Linked DNA regions of Yarrowia lipolytica. The protein of the gene in region 1 interacts with the protein of each later gene in a pairwise test. Links are inferred from orthologs where the notes say so. Each region holds a gene or a part of one and is shown in the gene's direction. Other genes may lie near its edges.

What was found.
Region 2: the proteins of YALI1_E18303g (region 1) and YALI1_D15622g interact in binary tests that used the Schizosaccharomyces pombe proteins (3 or more experiments, as listed by UniProt). The link is inferred for Yarrowia lipolytica from reciprocal best matches to the Schizosaccharomyces pombe genes pop2 and cul1.

What each region holds. Positions count from the first base shown.
Region 1 is NC_090774.1:1,825,498-1,835,774, forward strand, and holds YALI1_E18303g (uncharacterized protein), read left to right. Parts: upstream 1-4,857; coding exon 4,858-6,954; downstream 6,955-10,277. Other genes in the region: YALI1_E18258g (uncharacterized protein), read right to left, coding at 1-301; YALI1_E18269g (uncharacterized protein), read right to left, coding at 885-1,463; YALI1_E18281g (uncharacterized protein), read right to left, coding at 2,042-2,602; YALI1_E18291g (uncharacterized protein), read right to left, coding at 3,122-3,652; YALI1_E18326g (uncharacterized protein), read left to right, coding at 7,163-7,413, 7,485-7,560; YALI1_E18378g (uncharacterized protein), read right to left, coding at 7,677-10,277. UniProt on the Schizosaccharomyces pombe protein: Involved in maintenance of ploidy through proteasome dependent degradation of CDK inhibitor rum1 and S-phase initiator cdc18.
Region 2 is NC_090773.1:1,557,321-1,567,597, forward strand, and holds YALI1_D15622g (uncharacterized protein), read left to right. Parts: upstream 1-4,902; coding exon 4,903-7,269; downstream 7,270-10,277. Other genes in the region: YALI1_D15597g (uncharacterized protein), read left to right, coding at 2,447-4,072; YALI1_D15692g (uncharacterized protein), read right to left, coding at 7,586-10,277. UniProt on the Schizosaccharomyces pombe protein: Core component of multiple cullin-RING-based SCF (SKP1-CUL1-F-box protein) E3 ubiquitin-protein ligase complexes, which mediate the ubiquitination of target proteins.

The sequences.
Region 1 (10,277 bases):
CAATTGCGTAAAGAGCCCCAGAGTCGTCGTTAGCATGATCAGAGAATAAAACGGTATGGGAGTCCACAGGGCCCAATCCCATCTGAGGAAGAGCGAAAAAGAACTGCTCCTTCTCGGCCAACTGGTTGCCGTTGAGACCACTAGACAGACCCAGGGTGTCAGCCAACACGAGGTGGGCCTCAGCTCCATTAATGGACTGTTGAGCAGCACCCGTCTGGGGGTATGTAGCAATGTAACCCATGCATTCGGATGAGGCAATAGCGGTGGCGGACAGCGCCGACAGCAAGGCGAAAAACTTCATGGTTGTGGTGTCTCGTCGACTGTGCTACTGCTGTTGTCAACGCACACGAAGCATGAACCCTCGATTTAAAGTTTGATGGGAGGTTGTTTTATTGGTACGAGTACAAGCGTGTTAACTATAGAAGTACAGTAACAGGTAACACACAGTGATCGACAGCTACAGCATGACTTCTTGTACGATGACTTACGGTCCTGACATACCTGGGGAGGTTCTACAACGGCGCCAGAAGAGAATTCAGCAAGCTGCCAGTGCCCTTGAAGTGGTCCAGGCTGGACCGCAACTGTCCGAAGAGGCAGACTCATCAGACGACGATGACTTCGGTCCATCACTAACAGGTAACCCCAACATCAGCGAGACAGAGGCTCTCAATAGGTTAGAGGAGAGGAGCAGAAGCAAGACATGGGTGAATATGGACCCTGCTCACAATCCCAACCGGGATGGGTGGATGCAAAATGTCCCTGCGGAACTCTCAGGGACTTTTTCGAGTGAGTCGGCGCAGGATCGTGCTAAGGAGATGATGGGGTTTAAAAAATAGTTCACCTTCCACTCGTACATTCGTTAATACATATTTATATACAGATGCTTAAACTCGCTCGGCGACCCAAATGGCTCCTCGACATCCTGCTTTGATGGTTTCCGTGAGAAGCCAGTAAGGTCTGGCTTCATGCGAGTCGTTTTCCACAGCAATCTCGAGATGCTCCAGCTCCTCGTCACGGAATTGCTTAACAATGCTTTTCAAAGAGGTGATCTCTTCGTCCTTGGACCGCTCTTCCTTGGGAGGGAAGTTTTCGTGTAACCATCGCAACTGAGTGTTGTAGTGTCCACCAATAACAGTTTCTACGGCTTCAGTGCAAGCCATGGCACCTTCTTGACCAAGAAGGGCCGTGGCACAGCCTAGACCAGTTGCTGCAACCTTCCAGATCGGGGTAAGCAGAGACGGCCGGACTCTGTATTTCTGTTGAAGCTCGTTGAAAGTTCGTCTGTGGTGCTGCTCTTGCTCCCACATGTGCTTGATGAGAGGCTCGATCTCAGGCTTGGTTCGGCTGAGAACCATGTACTGACCTCGGTAAATAAGGTCCGCACCAAGTTCTCCAGCCTGGTCGACACGGATGAGTTTGGTAATAAACGAGGCCTCTGCCTTACTGAGTGCGTGTCGGGCCATGTCTGTTTGGAGGACTGAGAGAAGATGCGTAAGGTGGTGAAGTTAACTTTTGTCGGCTCATGTCCAAATTCATTCATCCCAAGTCCGCACTCTGCTGCGACGCAGGTGTAAGACTCGAACAGGATGTCGGACGCTGCACATGATAGAAGTCCCCAAATTGAAATCGCACATACATCACCAGGATCGTAGGCTGCTCTCTACATATCCCCACCTCAATTGTCAAGACACGGGGACACCCTCAATGACTCGGAACTCACTTGCTGCCGATGAAAACTAATCTGTACTCAAATGCCACCTCATATGATAACGAACCTTAACTGTGTGATCTGAGTAAGCAACTCGGCTTACAGTAGATGGGAAGCATAGAGCCAGAAGACGAAGAGGGTGAATAGAAAACATAGTAAAAGGGCTACGAGAACCAAATTATTATCGAAAAAAACAAGCTTATCTATATTACCAGTCGTCTCCTCCACCATAATCATCAGCGCCTCCCGAATACATATCGCCGTCGTTGTTGTTACTGTTGTCGTCATAATAGTTGTTCACAACCGTGTCACCGCCATCATGGTGGCCACTCATCATGTCTCCAATAAGCATACCACCAAGAAGACCACCACCAACACCCATGGCGGTAGTTCCCCAATTTCGTCTGTGAGGTTGCTGCTGCTGCATCTGCATAGGCGGGGGCTGGGCATACATAGGTGGAGGCGGGGGTTGTTGGTACATGGGCTGGGGGGCCAATAACCAGGTCCAGGGCCATAACCAGGTCCAGGGCCACCGTATCCGGGGCCCGGCCCTCCGCCATATCCGGGGCCCGGTCCTCCACCATAACCTCCGCCACCGTGGGGACCGCCGAAGCCACCAGGGCCAGGTCCCCCGCCGTATCCTTGAGGGCCTGAACCACCACCACCATATCCACGCTGCTCCTGGTGAGGTCTGTTGTTGTTGCTGTTGCTGTGGCTACTTCCCCGAGAAGGAGGCCGGTCGTATGATGGCGGACTGTGGCCACCGGAGCCGCTAGGCTTGTCCCACTGTGATTTTCCGTTGGAGAGGTCGACATAGTAAAAAGTCTTGTAGTTGGGGTCCCATTTGGCTAACCAGCCATCGGGGACGCTGGGGGGAGTTGGCTCGTTTGGCATGTCGTTGCTGAGGCCTGGGCTGGACTGAAGATGCCGTGTTACAGCTAGCTACGTTTCGATCGCTGCACTTCGTGGTCAGACTTTATTGGGATTTGAGATTTGGGTATGGGTAGTTTTGGCCAAGTTTACTACTGCACTACACACAGGGTAATTAGGAGGCTGTGTCAAATGTGACCGGAGGCTGTGTATGACTGATCCTTCACGTGCGACCTTACAAGCAATGAATACGGTGAAGGAATAAACTCGTCGCGCACTATTATATGCCTCTACGAGCGATATCATGATATTTAGATTTGTAATACGCGCCTTTGCTCCGGGGAACTGCACAACCTCTCAACAAGATTATGGTGGTACAGTATCGTAGACAGTAAGTATGTACAACCCCACCTGTCACCCCGAACATAAAAGTACCATACAAGTGTGATTGAATAGCGCCGTTGTATTTTCTTGTGGGTTAGACACAACTCGACATATACTACAGGTAGGTGATTAAATCTATGCACTTATATACAGGCTTTCTCAAAGATGAAATTTCTTCCCAGTGGAAGCAAATGCTTCGGAGGTTTCGGTCTCCAGAAGCTCTGTTAGGGTGGTGCCGTCACGCAGATAAACCCATTCACCGTCGACATAGTCATAACGCTTGGGGCCGGAAATGGGGGAACTTAGCCAAATCTGTTTGTTCGGGGGTTGTTTGTTGATAACGTAGGATCCAGCACCAGGGATTTCCAAGCTCATCACGCCTTGAGCTAGATCCACATCCAGCTCATTTGAATCGACCTCCTCAGCGTATTCTTCATAAGCAATCAAGATAGACTCCAAATATTCATCCGCTTGAATGTGGTAATCCTCTAATTCCAGCTCGGTCGCCTGGAGAGAATATAGTCGGAGCGTTTCATGATGTGTAGTGATGTGTGGCAAAGTAACTGTTCTTGTCGCACGTCGCACGCCAGTGGTGAGGGGTCTGCGAAGAGGTAGAGAGGCCACTCCTGTGGCTACTCTTGTGGCCAGTGCGATTCGGGGCACTGTTCTTAGCGATCTTATCAAACTCATGGCTTTCTGAAGGATCGTGGTGAAGGACGATGCCTGGGAGTAAAGTTCGCCTCAATTCATGCAAGATCACCAGATCGCTCTTTTCTCCCCACGAATCCGAGTAATCAAATTATGATGGCCGCCCACTCTTCCACGGTACAATTAAATGTTACGGAGCCATATAAAATGAATTCATAAGATGTATGCGGCAACCTAAACTTGGCTGAATGATACTTATTTTCTATTTTGCCACCATATTCTGAAGTATTTACTGTCCTTTTGAGGGGTCTGTCGGCGGTTCAAAAGCCCGATTGGTTGGAATTAAAAATGTCTGTACAAGTACGATATATTATTGTACGATACAAGGACATACTACGATAGTACAGTAAGAACTACTTGTAGTGCTTCTACTCGTACTTATACTTGTGCGATACATTAGCTACAATCAATATACTTGTGATGTCGCATGCCCGCAAGCGAAGATTACTCGTTGCTAACTACACGTGAGATACATTTGGAAGACTGCCCAACGCTGTTATACTTTGAGTTGGTCGTAAACAGAGTTTCATGCGTGCAGGAATTTGCGATGTAGCAACACCATCTGGGTGGGCTAACAGCTGGTATTTAGGCTGTTGTTTCCTCAGATGAGCAATAGACAAATACGATATTACATTTCCAAAAGATTCACAGGATACGAGACTTTAAAACATTTCATTTTCTCTGCTTTTCGGCGGTTGTGTAAGATTTCCAATTTCGGTGAGTAGTGCTTGTCAACAAACAGTCTGACCCCTTCGGCGCATGAGAGACTTCAATAGAAAGGGTAAAACCGAAGTTGGAAACATACCACACACCAAACCCACACACAATACACAACAGGCACAGGCGACAACGTCGAAACAAGACAACTCACGATAAGCCGTGCAAAAAAACTGGCAGAAGAGACACGTTCAAGACACTAGAGCCTTTCCTGGTCCCAGAGCAACCCCTGTTGTCCCTGGTGATTCATTTTGAAGGAAGACCACTGCAGTCAACTGATACACGACACCCACTTCGCGCCACCACCACAGCATATTCTCTACTCGTCGAGCCCCAACTGATAAGCGGTAGTTTACCTTTCAATAGTTGCCGCTGCAAACGCTCGCTCTCGGTAACACGGACATATACACCACCACCCCGCACCCTCTGCTCAACTCACAACAAAAGCAGCCTCAAACTACGATACAAAAATGCATACCGTCTCCATCGTCAGGAAGGACCCAAAATCTAGCAACGCTAACTATCCGCTGCGGGGTACAGATACTCCAGACTATCTCTCGCAGTTTCACTTTGACGTCAATGGCAACGAGCTCCAGTTCGTCGAACTTGGGGGTGAACAGACGTCCACCTCTGCCAGTCTCGAGAATGGAACTCTTGGAGCTGCCTCTGATAACGCAACATCCCGTGCTACGGAACTCAGCAAAAAGCGCCAGGCGTCTTGCAGCCTGCCACGCCAGAAGAAGGTACCCCGAAATGACTTGGAAATTGAGCAGACCGACGAGCAGCAAACATCCGCATCAAACGTCGCCATGCCTTCGCCTCCCCCGGCTCGAGAAGAAGAAGAAGAGCAACAGCATCTTACCATTCCTCATGCCAACCTACGGGACGAAATCCCTCAGCTCCTCGACAACTTCGACGATCTACCAGCCCCTGTCAAGAACTACGTGATGTTCCAGCTTCTACGTCGATGCAACAGACGGAACCTGTCGATGGTAGCCGATATTGTCGTCCCTGCCTTGCGCTGCGATTTGCTGTCCATCTTTCCTTTGGAACTCGCCACAAAGGTTTTGTCCCACCTCGACTACAAGACTCTTTGTGCCGCATCACAGGTTTCAAAAAGCTGGAACTCCATTGTTGAAAGCTTGGGCGCAATCTGGAAGGGTCTTTCAGAGAGCCACCAGGCGCCCGTTACCGATGCTGACGTTGCCAGAGCTACCGAGCAAAAGTGGGACTATACCACGTGGGGGTCCGAGGACACCGATCCTAGCATTGTCGAATCCACTCCTCTGTACAGCAAGATCAACCTGTACAAGAGCATATACCGTCGAAGACATCTTATTCGTCGCAACTGGATGGATCCCAACTCCACACCTGACTCCACATGCATCCGAACTGGACGGGAGGCAGTCATTACTTGTCTCCAGTTTGATGATGACATCATTGTCACTGCCAGCGAAGACCCTTGGATCAACGTCTACGACACTAAAACTGGCCGTCAACGAAGTCGACTCGAAGGTCACACTGGAGGAGTGTGGGCTCTGCAGTACGTTGGTGATACATTGGTCAGTGGAAGTATTGACAGAACTGTTAGAATTTGGAACATCAAAGAAGCACGATGCACCCACATTTTTACAGGTCACGTCTCTACGGTGCGGTCACTAAGCATCCTGACTCCTGTGCCAATGAGCCATGCAATGTGTGCTACTGCACGAACGGAGAGCACCGACCCCGATGAGATGTATCCTTCTCGACCTCTCATTGTTACTGGATCTCGGGACAAGACACTGAGAGTCTGGAAGCTTCCTCTTCCAGGCGAGCCTGAATGGCTGGATCAGTCCACTCAGGATCCCTACTTCATGAAGTCACTCCAGGGCCACTCTAATTCTGTTCGCGCCGTTAATGGCTACGGTGACACTCTTGTCTCTGGATCTTATGACACTACTGTGCGTGTCTGGTCTATCAACACTGGAAAGTGCAAGTTTGTACTTTCTGGACATCACAAGCGAGTATATGCTGCTGTTCTTGATCATCAGCGTAATCGATGCATCTCTGGGTCGCTTGACTGGAATGTGAGGGTCTGGTGCCTTGAGTCAGGATCCTGCCTGTACACTTTGGAAGGTCACACCTCGCTTGTTGGTCTCCTTGACCTCAACCGATCTTGGCTCGTGTCGGCTGCAGTTGACTGGACCCTTCGAGTTTGGGACCCCGAGACTGGAGGCAACATACATAAGCTGGAGGGACACGCGGAGGCAATTTCTTGCTTTCAGCACGACGAATACAAAGTTGTCAGTGGTTCCGCAAAATGCTTGAAGCTCTGGGATATTCGTACTGGCAAACTTGTGAAAGATTTGTTCACGGAGTGTGAGTCAATCTGGCAAGTGCGGTTTAGTGGATCCAAGCTCGTCGCAGCTGTCCAGAAAGACAACGAGGCTTATCTCCGAATCCTGGATTTCGATTATGAGCCAGGAACGAAGACTGAGAAAACGGTCTACGTTGGAAATGAGGATGACATCAAGGTCGAAGACGAGCTTGACACCGCTGCCGCTCCTGATGTAGCTCAATCCTAAGTTTCATACAAGCTACATGGGCATTTACATTTGCCCACCCATATATTTAATTAACAGGATATTATTTACGATACTCGTATCACATACCTTCATACAGTAATTCTGATGGCTGTGTTTTCAAATGAGCTTATCGGGTCACGTGTGTTTAAGGTTTCAATGAGATGTTAGCTTTTCAGTCCCAAATCACCACAACACAACTCGCACCACGATGAACCCCATCCGGCCCAGCAAAGAGCGACTTACCTCGTTGGCAAAATTGACTGCCCAGGTTTTTAATCGGTCTTACAACCCCGAGAACCTTCGACGTGGCACTAAGGCCCTCCGGGCACCGCTGATTGGCGAGCAGATCAAGAGCTACTACCCCACAAGCGACTTCAGCATGAAGAGCCTTCGAGAGGCCATGCCCCAGTTTGGTTTCGCAGACTACACTGAGTGGTACCGACTTACCAACGTTGTTCAGTGAGTATTAGATCCTATTGTATAAAGGCTACTAGGTACACGCACAATCGTGGTTCAATTATTAACAACAGGCGAAAGAAACGAGGAAAGGGAGCCCCTAAGAAGCTCACCGAGAAGAAGGCGGCCGGTGGAAAGAAGAAAAAATAGGCATGCTATTAATTTATACTGCCATGTACATAGACGAAATACAAAGCACGTTTACTACGGTGTATATGTTTCGATTAATTTCAACATTTCTATAAATTATGTAAGTATATCCATGGTTAGATGTAGTCGTGGCTATCGTCGTCAAGTGTTTCATCCTTCTCGTCATCTTGCTCTGCACGTTGGTATCGGCTAGCTCGTTTGGACAGAGCTCCACCCCAAACGGAGTTCTCAAACGAGTCGATGAGCTGGTCTTCCTGTCTGTGGATGAGGTTCAAATCAGAGGAGTCTTGGTCCTTGAAATTGTCACTGTCGCCTGATACGCGCCGGTCCCACATAGAGTTCCTGTCAATGTTTGACCGTTCCGAAGTCCATGAGAAACGGCCAGAGCTGCCAGCATTCGGGTTCGGTGTCATTGGGTCTGTAGACAGGAAGTAGTCTGCTGGAACTGGAACACCATCAGGTGTTGTAGGTACCTCTTCCACATCGAAGTCCGCCGTTTTCCTAGGAAGCAACGATGGCTCCTCGCTGGTAAAGTCTTCTTTGCTGTCGCCATCAGTAGTGATGAAAATTTGAGGCACAATGTTCTTTCGCGAGCCCGAAGGTATTCTAGTCACTCCTGTGCTCTCAAATGGATCTCTCGAAGCTGACATAGGACCCATATCGTCTCGTCGTTCGTGAAACTCTCTTCTGAGTTGCACCATATCCATGAAGCCTCGTAGTTTTGCCTTCAGAAGGTTCTCTTCCACTTGTTGAAGCATGATTCGTCGCTTGAGATAGGCATCTAGCATGAAGCACTTGTTTTCATCAACCATCTTATAGATGGGAATTGCCAGCAGTACTTGAGAAAAAGATATACCCTTGTCTGGGTTTCTCTCAAGTAACACTTGCTCACAAAGTGTGTCAAAGGCCCGGCGTCTGTTGATCATGTCTCCGACTGGGATGGTTCGAACGGCCTTGTTCAGCGCAGGAAGGTCGACATCATAAGGGTCATGGTCATTGACTCTAATGTTGTGGTCTGAAATCAGCTCTTTGATAGACCAATCGCCTTCATAAATGCACATCGAGAAGGTGCCTTCAATTCGTCGGAGAAATCTGTGGAGCTCATCTGGCCTAATGTATCCAGTTCCGGTGGGATCAAATTCTCTCCAGGCCTTCTTGTACTTCCGCAGCTCTTCCCGCTTGATGGCTCGACTGAGTGGGCCAGTCTGCTGGTAGACATACGAAAAATTTTCGTAAATCAAAGAAACAAACATATTGACGAAGATGTACATGGAGAGAATGTTCCAAGAAATGAAGAGCAGATACGCGTAGGGACGGGATCCACAATCAGTCTCGTTGAAACCAGCACCGTTGATACAGTACGGCGGCTCCAAAAGATAATCAGACATGATTTGGTTCCACCCTTCACCACAACTCATCCGGAATAAGAGAATCAGGGCCTTGGGGACTGTTCTGAAGTTGATGTTTCCTGTTCCATTAGGGCCAACTCGAGTGAGACCAAAAATCTGATTGAACGCAATAGCATATACCACAAATAAGACGATCCACGTAGCCATGAGGTTCAAAATGGATGCAAAAGAAGCTGACGTGGTTTTGAACAGCTGGTCGAGTCGCTCTGATCGTGGAATGAAAAGTAGCAGAATACCGACTTGGCACAACTTCTGGAAGTTGTAGTAAGTGTTGGAAACGAAAGAAGCAAAAGAGAAGATGGTGGTCACTAATGCACCCGTCACAACAAGTACTGTGTAGAGATCCCATTTTCTGGACATGAAACCCTTGTAACCAAAAGCATAAAACCTCATAATCTCGTTGAGATCCAGGATAATGAGGATGGGTAGAAAGAGCCCATTTCGAATGTCTTCGGCATATAGGTATTGAGGATACCATTCTAAGCACAAAATAATGAGGTGGATAAACAACAGACCCGCAAGAAACTTATTCCACTTGCCCTTTCGATTCGTCACTACTCTGTAGCAGTATTCACGCCATGTTCCCTCACGCACGTACACCGGTACAATGGACGGTTTTACCAGCTTCAGGATTTTTTCAGCCTCTGCCCAAGCCCGTTGCTCTTGGGTAAGAAATGCCGTACCCGTGGTTCTCGAATAATTCTTAATGATGACAGCAATGAACAACGTGAGAATGAAAACTGTGGAAATGAAATTGTACAGGACAAGAAAGGCCGAGTTGTTCACTGAAGCGGCCCACTCCAAATTCATCCCAGGCCCTTGAATACTCATGGTAGTCTTGAGAACATCCGTCCAACCTTCGAGGGAAATGATTTCGAACAGAATTAGAAAGGAATGACCGAAATTGTCAAAGTCATAGTATGGCTTCACAACAGAGCGGGGCGCCAGGACATTCCAGTTTGACGGCGAGGATGCAAATTCGTTGATACAATTGGCAAGAAATTCGGTATTTTCGTCGTTGCAGCTGTAGAAGCGCCCTTTAAAGATTTGCAAGCCCCACACACTGAAAGGGTAGAGCAGACACATGGAAATCATGGCCGCGCCGAAGATCTTCCTGATGCCCACGATAACGATGTTCTCGAATGTTTCCTTAGCTGCATTCGAAATATTGAGCAATCGCAAAGCTCGCAAAGCTTTGAAAGCACGAACAGCTCGAGAGACGTAACCATTTCCAGCAAAGATGGCAATCATGTTTATCCACAGAGATATCAGCACTATGAAGTCAATAACACCCCACGACGATCTCAA
Region 2 (10,277 bases), on another chromosome or scaffold:
GCTCCTGCGACTTTTTTCGAATCAGTCCACGCCAGTTCATTTTAAGTTGAGATGAAATTTTGGGACCTTCACCACCGAGTTGCCACTGGACAGCATAGCCCGGTGGACGGGTCTAGTGGACGCGACGGTTGTAGACGGGTGTCGCATGTCACGCGAGGCCATATTTGGTCTTTCGCGGTCGGGTACGGTTCTCTTCACAGTGAGAATGAATCATGCTCTTTGACCGACCCTAGGGGGACCTTCGTCAAAACCCCAAGTATAAAAGCCAACTAAAGTCGCGCCCACAGTTACACCACGTCCAATTGCGATCCGGACATGCCATCACATTGCTAAAAGCTAATAACGATTGGCTGCGTCAGATAGGTGAGGTGGAAGAGGTGAAATAGTGAGGGGGAGGGGAAGGAGGAAATGACATACTGTACAAATACTTGTATGAGATCATAAAGCACTTTTATTCACTCGCACATGTGCCATTTCTATATAGCAATCGAGAGACTGCCTGATTCGCTTTCGCAGTCTCACACAACATGGTTCAAAAATGCCACAGGTGCTTTACTGAGAGTCTCACTTCAAGACTAAGCGCACCTACGTTTGCCACTATGGATGCGTCCTACAAGCACCGCCCGCATTTTCAGCAATGTCCGAATGTACGAATTCGGTGAAGTTTTTCAGGGGTCATCTTTTGACTGAGACACGCTTATGTAATGGTGGTGATCCACGAGTATCTGCGAAATATCATCCTCGACGAGCAAGGCAACCACTACAGACATCATCTATAAGCACCACGGAAAGGGTCCATTAAGGTACAAGTAAAGTGCGAGGATAAAGTAGCGGCGAGGGTATAGTGAGGGTAAAGTGAGGGTAAAGTGAGGGTAAAGTGAGGGTAAAGTGAGGGTAAAGTGAGGGTAAAGGAGCGTTGGCTCGCCCAAGTGTGTAAACCGTCCAAGAGAAGAGGTCTACAAGCCGGTGCCCGTACGAGTCGCCGTACTTTTTTGCTACAATCGCGGGTCTATTAAGTCACGTGATACCCCCCAAAGGCGAATGCCAGCGACTTGTGATGGATGGTTTTGCAAGCCTCTCGATAAAAACTTCCTTGCACTCGAACTCAAGTCTATTGAGCTCGGGTGTTTGCAATCACGTTGAACTCACTTGACTCCGTTTGACCTCACCTTAGCTCGCTGATCAATTGATCAACAATGCCTGTCATCTGTCAGCTGTCACTTGATAGTTCCACCTGCCATTGCAAGGTGCACGAGAACGAGTGACGGTGGGAAATGTCTCGAGCCGATAATGTACGTACTCGCACTCGTACATGCTCGTGGTCCCGTTACTCATTTCCAAATGCACCCCGAGGCGGTAGACTATGGACGCAGGGGAAGTTTTAGCGAGATGTCAGATTGGTCTTTTTATGGGCAAATTGAGAGATTAGCTGAGACGACAATGGTGGTTATGGACTTGTAAGCAGAGACAAAATGATATGTTGCTACACTATACCAAGTACTTGTACCAGTACAGTACCAATAGTCGTATCCTGTTGGGTAGTCTTAGCAGCGTCAGTCATCCTGGCAACCCAATTACAGTACCTTGCTGTCAGACCTCAAACCCATAGGGTGGATGCATTAGCAACAGAGATTACAGGGTGGGGGCGGTGTGAGTATATATGAGTGCGTATACCGGTACTTGGTGTTACCAAAGCTGGGGTATATTCCCTCATTTTAGCGCTCTTCTACACGTACAGTAGCGAGATTACGATACTTGTACATCTACAGTACAGGCTATATTTAGTATGTACAGCACAGATAACGCTAGCCAGATTTTATCGTCAACACTTTGAGAGGCTACCAAGGCAGTTGGAGACCGCAGCTACAAGAAGATAAGGACTCTCAGACGACTGTCTCAGTATCGTAGCCACTCGTAGCCAATGTACTGTAGGTACTGCCGACAGTGCGGCGCAATCGGAGAGAGGTATATGCAACACCAGTCAAATGCACCAGCAAGGAAGACCATAAATGACGAGTAGGGGAGGGCAAGCGAGGACATACAAGGACGTCAACGGACGCGTTTCGGGCGGTTTTTGTGGGCAAATTGCGGGCAAAAACGGCTTGTGGGCCCTGATCACACGTATCCAGACCCCAGGGTCCGCCGATCTCCCTCTTCCACCCCCAGCAACACCTTTTGAACAGCTCTCCCTTCCTCCTCCACATAACGCAGGAAGCTTGGCTAGAAACACCTTAATCTCGTCTAGCTTCAACCCAAAACGGTTCCAAACATCTGACCCTAACTGTTTTAAAAACACCTACAGAAAGAACAGACAAAAAAAAAAAAAAACAAGAGGCGGACCTCTTGAGACAGGCTTGCTTTGAGATAAAAGAAAAATCATCACATTGTTGATCAAAGGAGAGGAACCCGACAACAATACCGACCCAGCTACACTCTCCTCTCGGCCATGCCCTCCCACGACTACGGCCCTCATGACATTCCGGTGGAGGCTTCAGACGGTGGTAAACAGACAAGTCAAGGTGGTTCTTTTGATACCGTCGATGAACCACCCCCTCCAGCCGCCAACAAGAAGATGAAAACCAGCGAGGAGCAACAAATACACGACCAGCCCGACTTTCCCGCAGCTGTGTCGGCTTCCTACACGCCTGCTCCAACCTCCTCGCAATCCAACACCTCAGCATTAACATACACGGACACGCAAACCCACCCAACGTCACACATGCCGTCGGGACCCATGGGCGCATCGTCTAGCGGTGAGATCCCGTTTCCAACCTACTCGTCGCCGCCCTCCAAGCCTCGCTCCAGAGCGATTTCAGGGGGCACCACCGGAGTATCGTCTCGAAGAAACACGTCGTCGTCTTCGAGGTCGCAACAGTACGAAACCAACTACAAACATGTGGCAAGTACCATCCCGGTGTGGCTCATCGAAGATATTGGCGACCAGGAACTCTCACCGCAGGTCAACAACTCCAACTCCTTCCAAAACGACAGTGACCGTATCACGGAGATTGCCGAGGGAGACTCGGACAAGGCCATTTCCGACGTGGACAACGGTGAGGGTGCGGCACCCACTCTGAATTGGAGACGGCGTCTGCCCACTTCCTCTTTCAACTTTGCTTCACCACAAACCACAGCTCTACGGCCCCTGCAGGGAGTGCTGGTGGCCCCGCTAAAACTGCATACCCACATTTTCCGCCACCACCGACTCAAGTACGTGCAGGGCGAGTCCAAAAACAGATACGTGGAAACCAACCCCCATTATGAATGGGGCACTTTTGCTAACAAGGTCATTCGACGAGACGTTCTGGGCAATGAAGAGATTGTGGATGTGTCGGAGCTGGAGGGCCAGTACGACTTTGAGTCAAAGTACGGCGGCGACGACCAAGGCCAATTGGGATCCACGTCGTGGTTCCTGAAACGAAAGCTCAAGGGCTTCATCAGCTTGTTCCGAAACATTGAGGACGACGACAAATACAAACGAGGCGCGGATCTCAACTTCCGGGAGTTTGTGTCCGAGAAGTCGCGGCAATCGTGGAAACCAAAGTTCTACGTCATCTTGCTCAACGACCCCTACGTGCCTCTGACGTTCCGAACCATCATGTTCTCTCTGTCATGCGTGGCTCTGTCTCTATCTGCATCTGTCTTTGTGCATTCGAAGAATAACACGCCGATATCCATTCCCCAGCAGCCGTCGACGATTATGGCCATTGTGGTGCAGTCCATTGCACTGGTGTACATTGTGTACATTACGTACGACGAGTACTCGGGCAAGCCTCTGGGTCTTCGAGATGCCGGCTCCAAGATCCGACTCATCATGTTGGATCTCTTATTTATTATTTTCTCATCCGCAAATACGGCTCTTGCATTTAACACCATGTGCGACAAACGGTGGGTCTGTCGTACCGACCACGATCTCAGTGACCCGGACCCTATGCCCTACAACTACGCCATGTGTTCACGGCAGAAGGGTCTGGTTGCGTTTCTGCTCATGATTCTCTTTTCGTGGGTCTCCACTTTTAGCATTAGTATCTTCCGTCTGGTAGAGCGTGTTGCTGGAGACAAGCAGAACTAGACTAGACACAGCTCTCGGCACATCACAAGACATGGCATATACACTTTCCCATTTAACCAGCATTCCACTAATACAGATACAGATAATAGAGAGTGTTCTGCAGGTACTTCATGTACCAGTACAGCACATACCATTACAGTACCGGTAGTAGTAGCTAGCTAGTCCTTTTAGATAGACATTCACTACTATACGAGCACAGGTGTACTTGTATGCTAAGTACAACACGTACAGTAAATACATGTTGGTACGTTCCCCTGTACGAGCTTCGACCTCTGCTTACTAAGAGTACCTTCACACCCCTTTAATTGTGTGTAATACAAGTATGTACAAGTACATACAAGTACAAGAACAGGCCGGGCAATTGAAAGGGGTTTTTGTAGTCTTGGGTGGAGTGGATTTTCCATGGACCGGTTTTGGTCGTCTTTTCTGTCTGTCAATGCTTCATCTGATCTTGTTTAGCTACAAATATCGTTATATATACTGTAGATGGGTTGGTATATGGTAGCTACAAGTACTGTAGCTGTTTACAGTGGCGTGTCCTAACAGCTGAGTAAGCCCCAGAACAGGAAGCTTATTAGGGTATTGGGTCACACACATAGATAGACCCACACATCAAGCAGAAGGCTATATGCTCTAACGCACCACACTTAGACACCTTCTCTCACCATCCATCTGTCTCCCGTTACACCTGGCAATTACGCCTAGAAACAATCACCTATTTCGAATCGAGCATCAGGTGACACGGCAGTGGACGCAACGAGTGAAAACAAGACACACAAGGTACAGCTTTTTGCAAAAAGACGCCACGACAACCGCAGAGAAAAAACACCATGGTAAACACACCACCACTTCCCCGCGCCGATGATATCGACGCCACCTGGAAGTACATTGAGGACGGCGTGGGCCAGGTGCTCCGGGATGACCTGGCACACGGCGCAGGGCTGTCATCGCAGATGTACATGAACCTGTACTCGGCGATCCACAACTACTGCGTTTCGCGAGACAGCAACCGAAGCGTGAGTCTGGCCAGCAGAGGAGGAGTCGGATCAAGCACGCGGGGCGCCCAGCTGATTGGCGCAGACCTGTACTACAAGCTCAAGGGCTTTCTGGAATCGCATCTCAGCTCGCTGGAGGCTGAGGCCCAGCCCATGAGCGGTGGCAACCTGCTGCTGTACTACATCAAGTGCTGGGACAAGTACACGGTGGGTGCGCAGTACATCAACCACATTTTCAACTACCTGAACCGACACTGGGTCAAGCGAGAGAGAGACGACGGTCGCAAGAACGTGGTGGACGTCAACACCATGTGTTTGTGTGCCTGGAAGGAGTGCTTCTTCGATCCCCTGGAGAAGAAGGTCATTGATGCCCTGCTGGAGCAGTTCACCCGGCTGCGAAACGGCGAATCTACGGGCACCATCGACATCCGAAAGGTCGTGTACTCGTTGGTGTCATTGGGTCTGGACCAGCTTGACATCAAGCGGGTTAACCTGCAGGTCTACGAGCAGGCCTTCCTGCATCCTTTCATCCAGCACACCAAGGACTACTACACCAAGGAGTCCGCCCTGTTCCTCCAAGAGAACACTGTGGTCGACTACAACCGCAAGGCTGAGCAGCGTCTGGCGGAAGAGAAGGGCCGAGTTGACGTCTACCTGCATCCGTCTTCCGAGCAGCGGGTGATTGAGACCTGCCACGAGTGTCTCATCGCCGACCACGCAGAGGTCATCCGATCCGAGTTTGGCTCACTGCTCCAGGGCTACCGAGAGGACGACATTCGACGTGTGCACGTACTGCTGAGCAAGGTGGACGGCGCCTTGGACCCTATTCTGCCCGTTTTCGAGTCCTACGTTAAACAGGAAGGAGAGAATGCTGTCAAACAGCTGGCCAAGGACCTCACTGGCACCGTCGACGCTTCGACTTACGTCGACACACTCATTGGTGTCTACGAGCGCTACGTGCATCTGGTGGAGGTGGCCTTCAGCAATCACACATCGTTGCACAAGGTTCTGGACGCTGCATGTTTGGCCTTCATCAACAAGAACGCTATTGCCACTCCAGATTCGCCTAGCAACAAGTCCCGCGACTCCAAAACCCCAGAGCTGCTGGCTTCCTACTGCAACACGCTACTTAAGAAGACCACCAAGACCACCGAGGACTTCGATCTCGAGGCGAAGCTCGAGAACGCCATTGTCATTTTCCGGTTCCTGGAAGAAAAGGACGCCTTCCAGAAGCATTACACTCGTAACCTGGCCCGACGTCTTGTCTACAACTCGTCTGCATCCGACGATGCCGAGCGGTCCATGGTCAACAAGCTCAAAAACGAGTGCGGTATGGAGTACACGGGCAAGCTCAACAAAATGTTCCAGGACATTTCCGTATCAGGCGAGCTGCAGGAGGAGTTCAAGGAGCGAGTACAACAGAAGCGACAGGACGCGGCTGCCTCAGGCGGAGAGGCCAATCTCGTCGACTTCTCGCCAACCATCATTGCCGAGGGATGCTGGCCACTGCCCTCCGTCAAGGACGGCTTCCGACTGCCCAATGACCTCACCAAGACGTACGAGGCGTTCACCCAGTACTATCAGGCAAAGCACCAGGGCCGAAAGCTCAAGTGGCTGTGGAACTTCACCAAGGGCGATGTCAAGATCCACACCAAGGGCTCCAAGATTGGCTATTCGGTAACAGCCTCCATCTACCAGATTGCCATTCTTCTGGCCTACAACGACGCCGATGTTCTGTCTGTGGCCGATCTGCAGGAGATCACCGGTCTCAGCAACACATACCTGCATGGTTCTCTGCACTTGATCCTCAAGTCCAAGTTTCTGTTGGTTGAGGGTGTGTCTGGCGACCCCAAGGACGTGGAGCTCACGCCTGAGACGCGAATCGTCTTCAACCAGGACTTCAAGTCCAAGAAGATCCGAATCAACATCAACGGAGTCATCAAGACGGAGGCTAAGGCTGAGGCTGAGGAGACAAAGAAGGCAATCGAGGAGGACCGAAAGTGGTTCTTGCAAGCCACGATTGTTCGTGTCATGAAGGCTCGAAAGACTCTCAAGCATACTGCGCTGGTTCAGGAAACCATTGTGCAGTCCAAGAAGCGGTTCCACCCCAAAATTGGCGAGATCAAAAAGGTGATTGACGATCTGATTGAGAGAGAGTATCTGACCCGAATCGAGCAGGACAAGTACGAATACGCTGCATAAACTGTTTCTGCGTTTGGCACAGTTTTTGATAAACGTGTTGCACGGCATTGTGCACGATAATGTTTCTGGTATTGCGTTGTATGGTGGCACCATGGTAAATGTTAGCATCTGTTCTGTGGTGGTGTCAAGTCATTCAAGTACAAGTAATATCCAATAGATGACTGTAAGAAATGTTTTAAGTTTAATACAAGCGTAAAACAGGTGAAAAACGGTAGAAGATCAGGTACAAAGTCTTCTCTACATGAGTGCCGATACATACAAATCGGTATCTAAGCCGGCTGTATAATCAAAGTATTAGTAATATAATGCTAGTGGCCTAATTAACAATGTTGATATCAGCAAAATCCGGTTCCACCAGCTTTTCGATTTCATGCGACAGTGCCATAACCCACTGTTCCTTCTCCTGTCGAGAACGGGCCACAAAAATGTACCGATGGCCACTGACACCCAGTCGATTGACGGTTCGCAGCTTGGTGGCAGAATTTGTAGTCACGGCCTTCTTTCGAGGGAACCACAAAATGATGCATCGCAGAGTCTCACTCTCGGCAGACTTCCACCCGTCCTTGTACATGCGAGGTACCACCTTGTCCGAGCTGAGATCGCTCATTTCGTCGCGGGTCAGAATATCTGACTCCGCAATGTTGCCGGAGTACACGTAGGCCTCCTTGAGAGGGATGTCTCTGAATCTCTCGTAGTCCACCTTGTCCATAGGGATACCTCCGAGCGTTCGTCTGTAAACGTCATAGAGAATGAGATGTCCATGGCACAGGACCGCGTAGTACAACTTGAATGAGCCATGGGTCCGTGTCTTATGGTACAGCATACCCTTCATGATGATTGAACGGGACCACGAGATACCTGAAACATTGTACAGCGTAGTAGAGGCTGAAGCACGGGCGGTTTCCCACTTGGGAGACGACTCTCCAATAGCTGCATCTAACTTATCGTCAATGTAGAGACGTTTCATGTTGTTTGTTCGGAAGTCGGCAGATACTTGCAGCTGGTTTTGGGCCACCACTTTCCAATAGGCAATGAGATCCCTGAGCTTGTTGACCCACAAGTTTCGACAGTGCGAGTTGTAGGCCTGTAGACGCACGATAAGACCGTTTTCCATCACCAACTCAAACGTCTTGTGTTCGTCGAAAGAATCAACCTCGCCGTCTTCTCCTCCCAGGCCCTGAGACGTGCTTCCATGGAGAATTCGAGAGCCGTCAAAGTCCACATTGTTGTCTTCGTTACCAATACTGTCGTCGATGTCCTCCTGGCGTTTGGTAGCACGAACTTGGACAACTTCAAGGAGGTTGATGAACCCATCAGCCTTGATTATCTGAGCGGCCCGTCTCTGCATGTTGTGCAGAGCAATGGAATCCTTCTTTTGAAACTCCGACTCGGTGATACCTGGTTTGAGCCACTTGATGATAGGAGTGCCCTTCATCTCACCGGTGCCCTCCTCAGACTTGAACGGGGCAATCTCGTACACCCACTCCCGCTGTTCCTCATTGTAGGCTTCCTGGCATTTGAGATCTTCGTCGGGAAGAGGAAGAATGGCATTGCCGGGCTTGGCAAAGAAAAGAAAGTAGTCATGGGTGGAAAAGTACAGGTTCTTGTAAAGAAGCTTACCGAACGAGTTCTTTTTGGAGGAGAAGGCGCCTCCTAGCTGTCCATTCCAAGACTTGAGACGCACCAGATGACCCTCAATGGGGGTGGGCTCCACCAACTCCTCTCCCTTGATTGTGATTTTGTCACCGTAATGTTCTTTGACACGCAACTCCAAGTCGTGCGTTCGGTTGAGGGCCCAGGAACCATGCAACTCCTGCTCTCCAAAGCCCTGGACCCACTCTAATCGGTCGTATCGACGCCATCCAAGACCGACTCGCTTATTATTCACCCAGTCATCAATGGTGCTTTTAAATCGTGGGTTTTCAGCCAGAGCCTTGAGCGCCTTCTCAGTAATGTATTGGTGAGCTCTGGCGGTGAGAACAGCACCTCGGCCTGACTTTCTTTTGGCAGCCATAAGATTTCTAGAAATGTACTCGTCGATAAGTCGGAACTTGCGCCAAGAGACCCGAACAGTTACAACCACAGCCAGATCAGGCACTCGCACATGCATGTCCTTGTCTCGTCGGGCACCCAGAATTTCGGAGAAGAATGCAAACCACCGAATGGACGAGTAGGCTGAGCGAGCCCGCAGAATGTAGATGACAGTCTCACGCTTGCTGGTGTACCACAGGGCGATGGTCTTATCCAGAGATGAATACAGCGACACATTGACATGCTTGCCAAGTGTCAGAAACATTTTGGCGCCAGTCTTACCCTTGGTCACCTTCTCAACAGCCTTGATGGATCGGGACGAATAGAATTGCAGCGAGATCGGGTTCAAGGGGTCACCTGTGCTTCGAGCAACAACAATGTACTCTCTCCATCGTTCCAACATTCGAGTGTCCCCTGTTTCTGTCTCGTTGAAGTCTTTAGGTAGATGCAGAGCTGGACTGGTCTTGACCATAACTAACATCTTCTCGATCCGCACAATCTCTCCGGCGGATTTTTCTCTCAAAAACCTCCAGTTTTTGACCGTAGCGTCTCGAGTACGCGAAGACTTGTCTTTCATCTTACCAGCGACATTCTTTGCCCGGTTCATGAAGTTTTCCTGAAACTGAAGGTAGTAGTCACTCTGAGAAGGTCCCGCATTGGCAGCGGCGATAGTAGCAGGAGTCATGACTTCAGCACCCCGCGGTTCGTTACCATGACGAAGACCGGTATGTGGAACAGTAGGATCTCCGTCTTCTTTGACCTCATCAGGCTCTTGACCTTCAGGTCCCTCTGGAGCTTCAGCTACCTTTGAATCATCAATCACCTTTTCAGTGGCATCGGAGATTTGGCCGTTGTTTCCAAAGTCGTCAGATCCGTCCATCAACTGTACGTTCTCAGGTAGACTATCCTGTTCCTGAAGCTCGGGTAGCTTCTGTTCTTCTTTCCAGCGCAGCTTTTGACCGGGTGTGAGACCACTG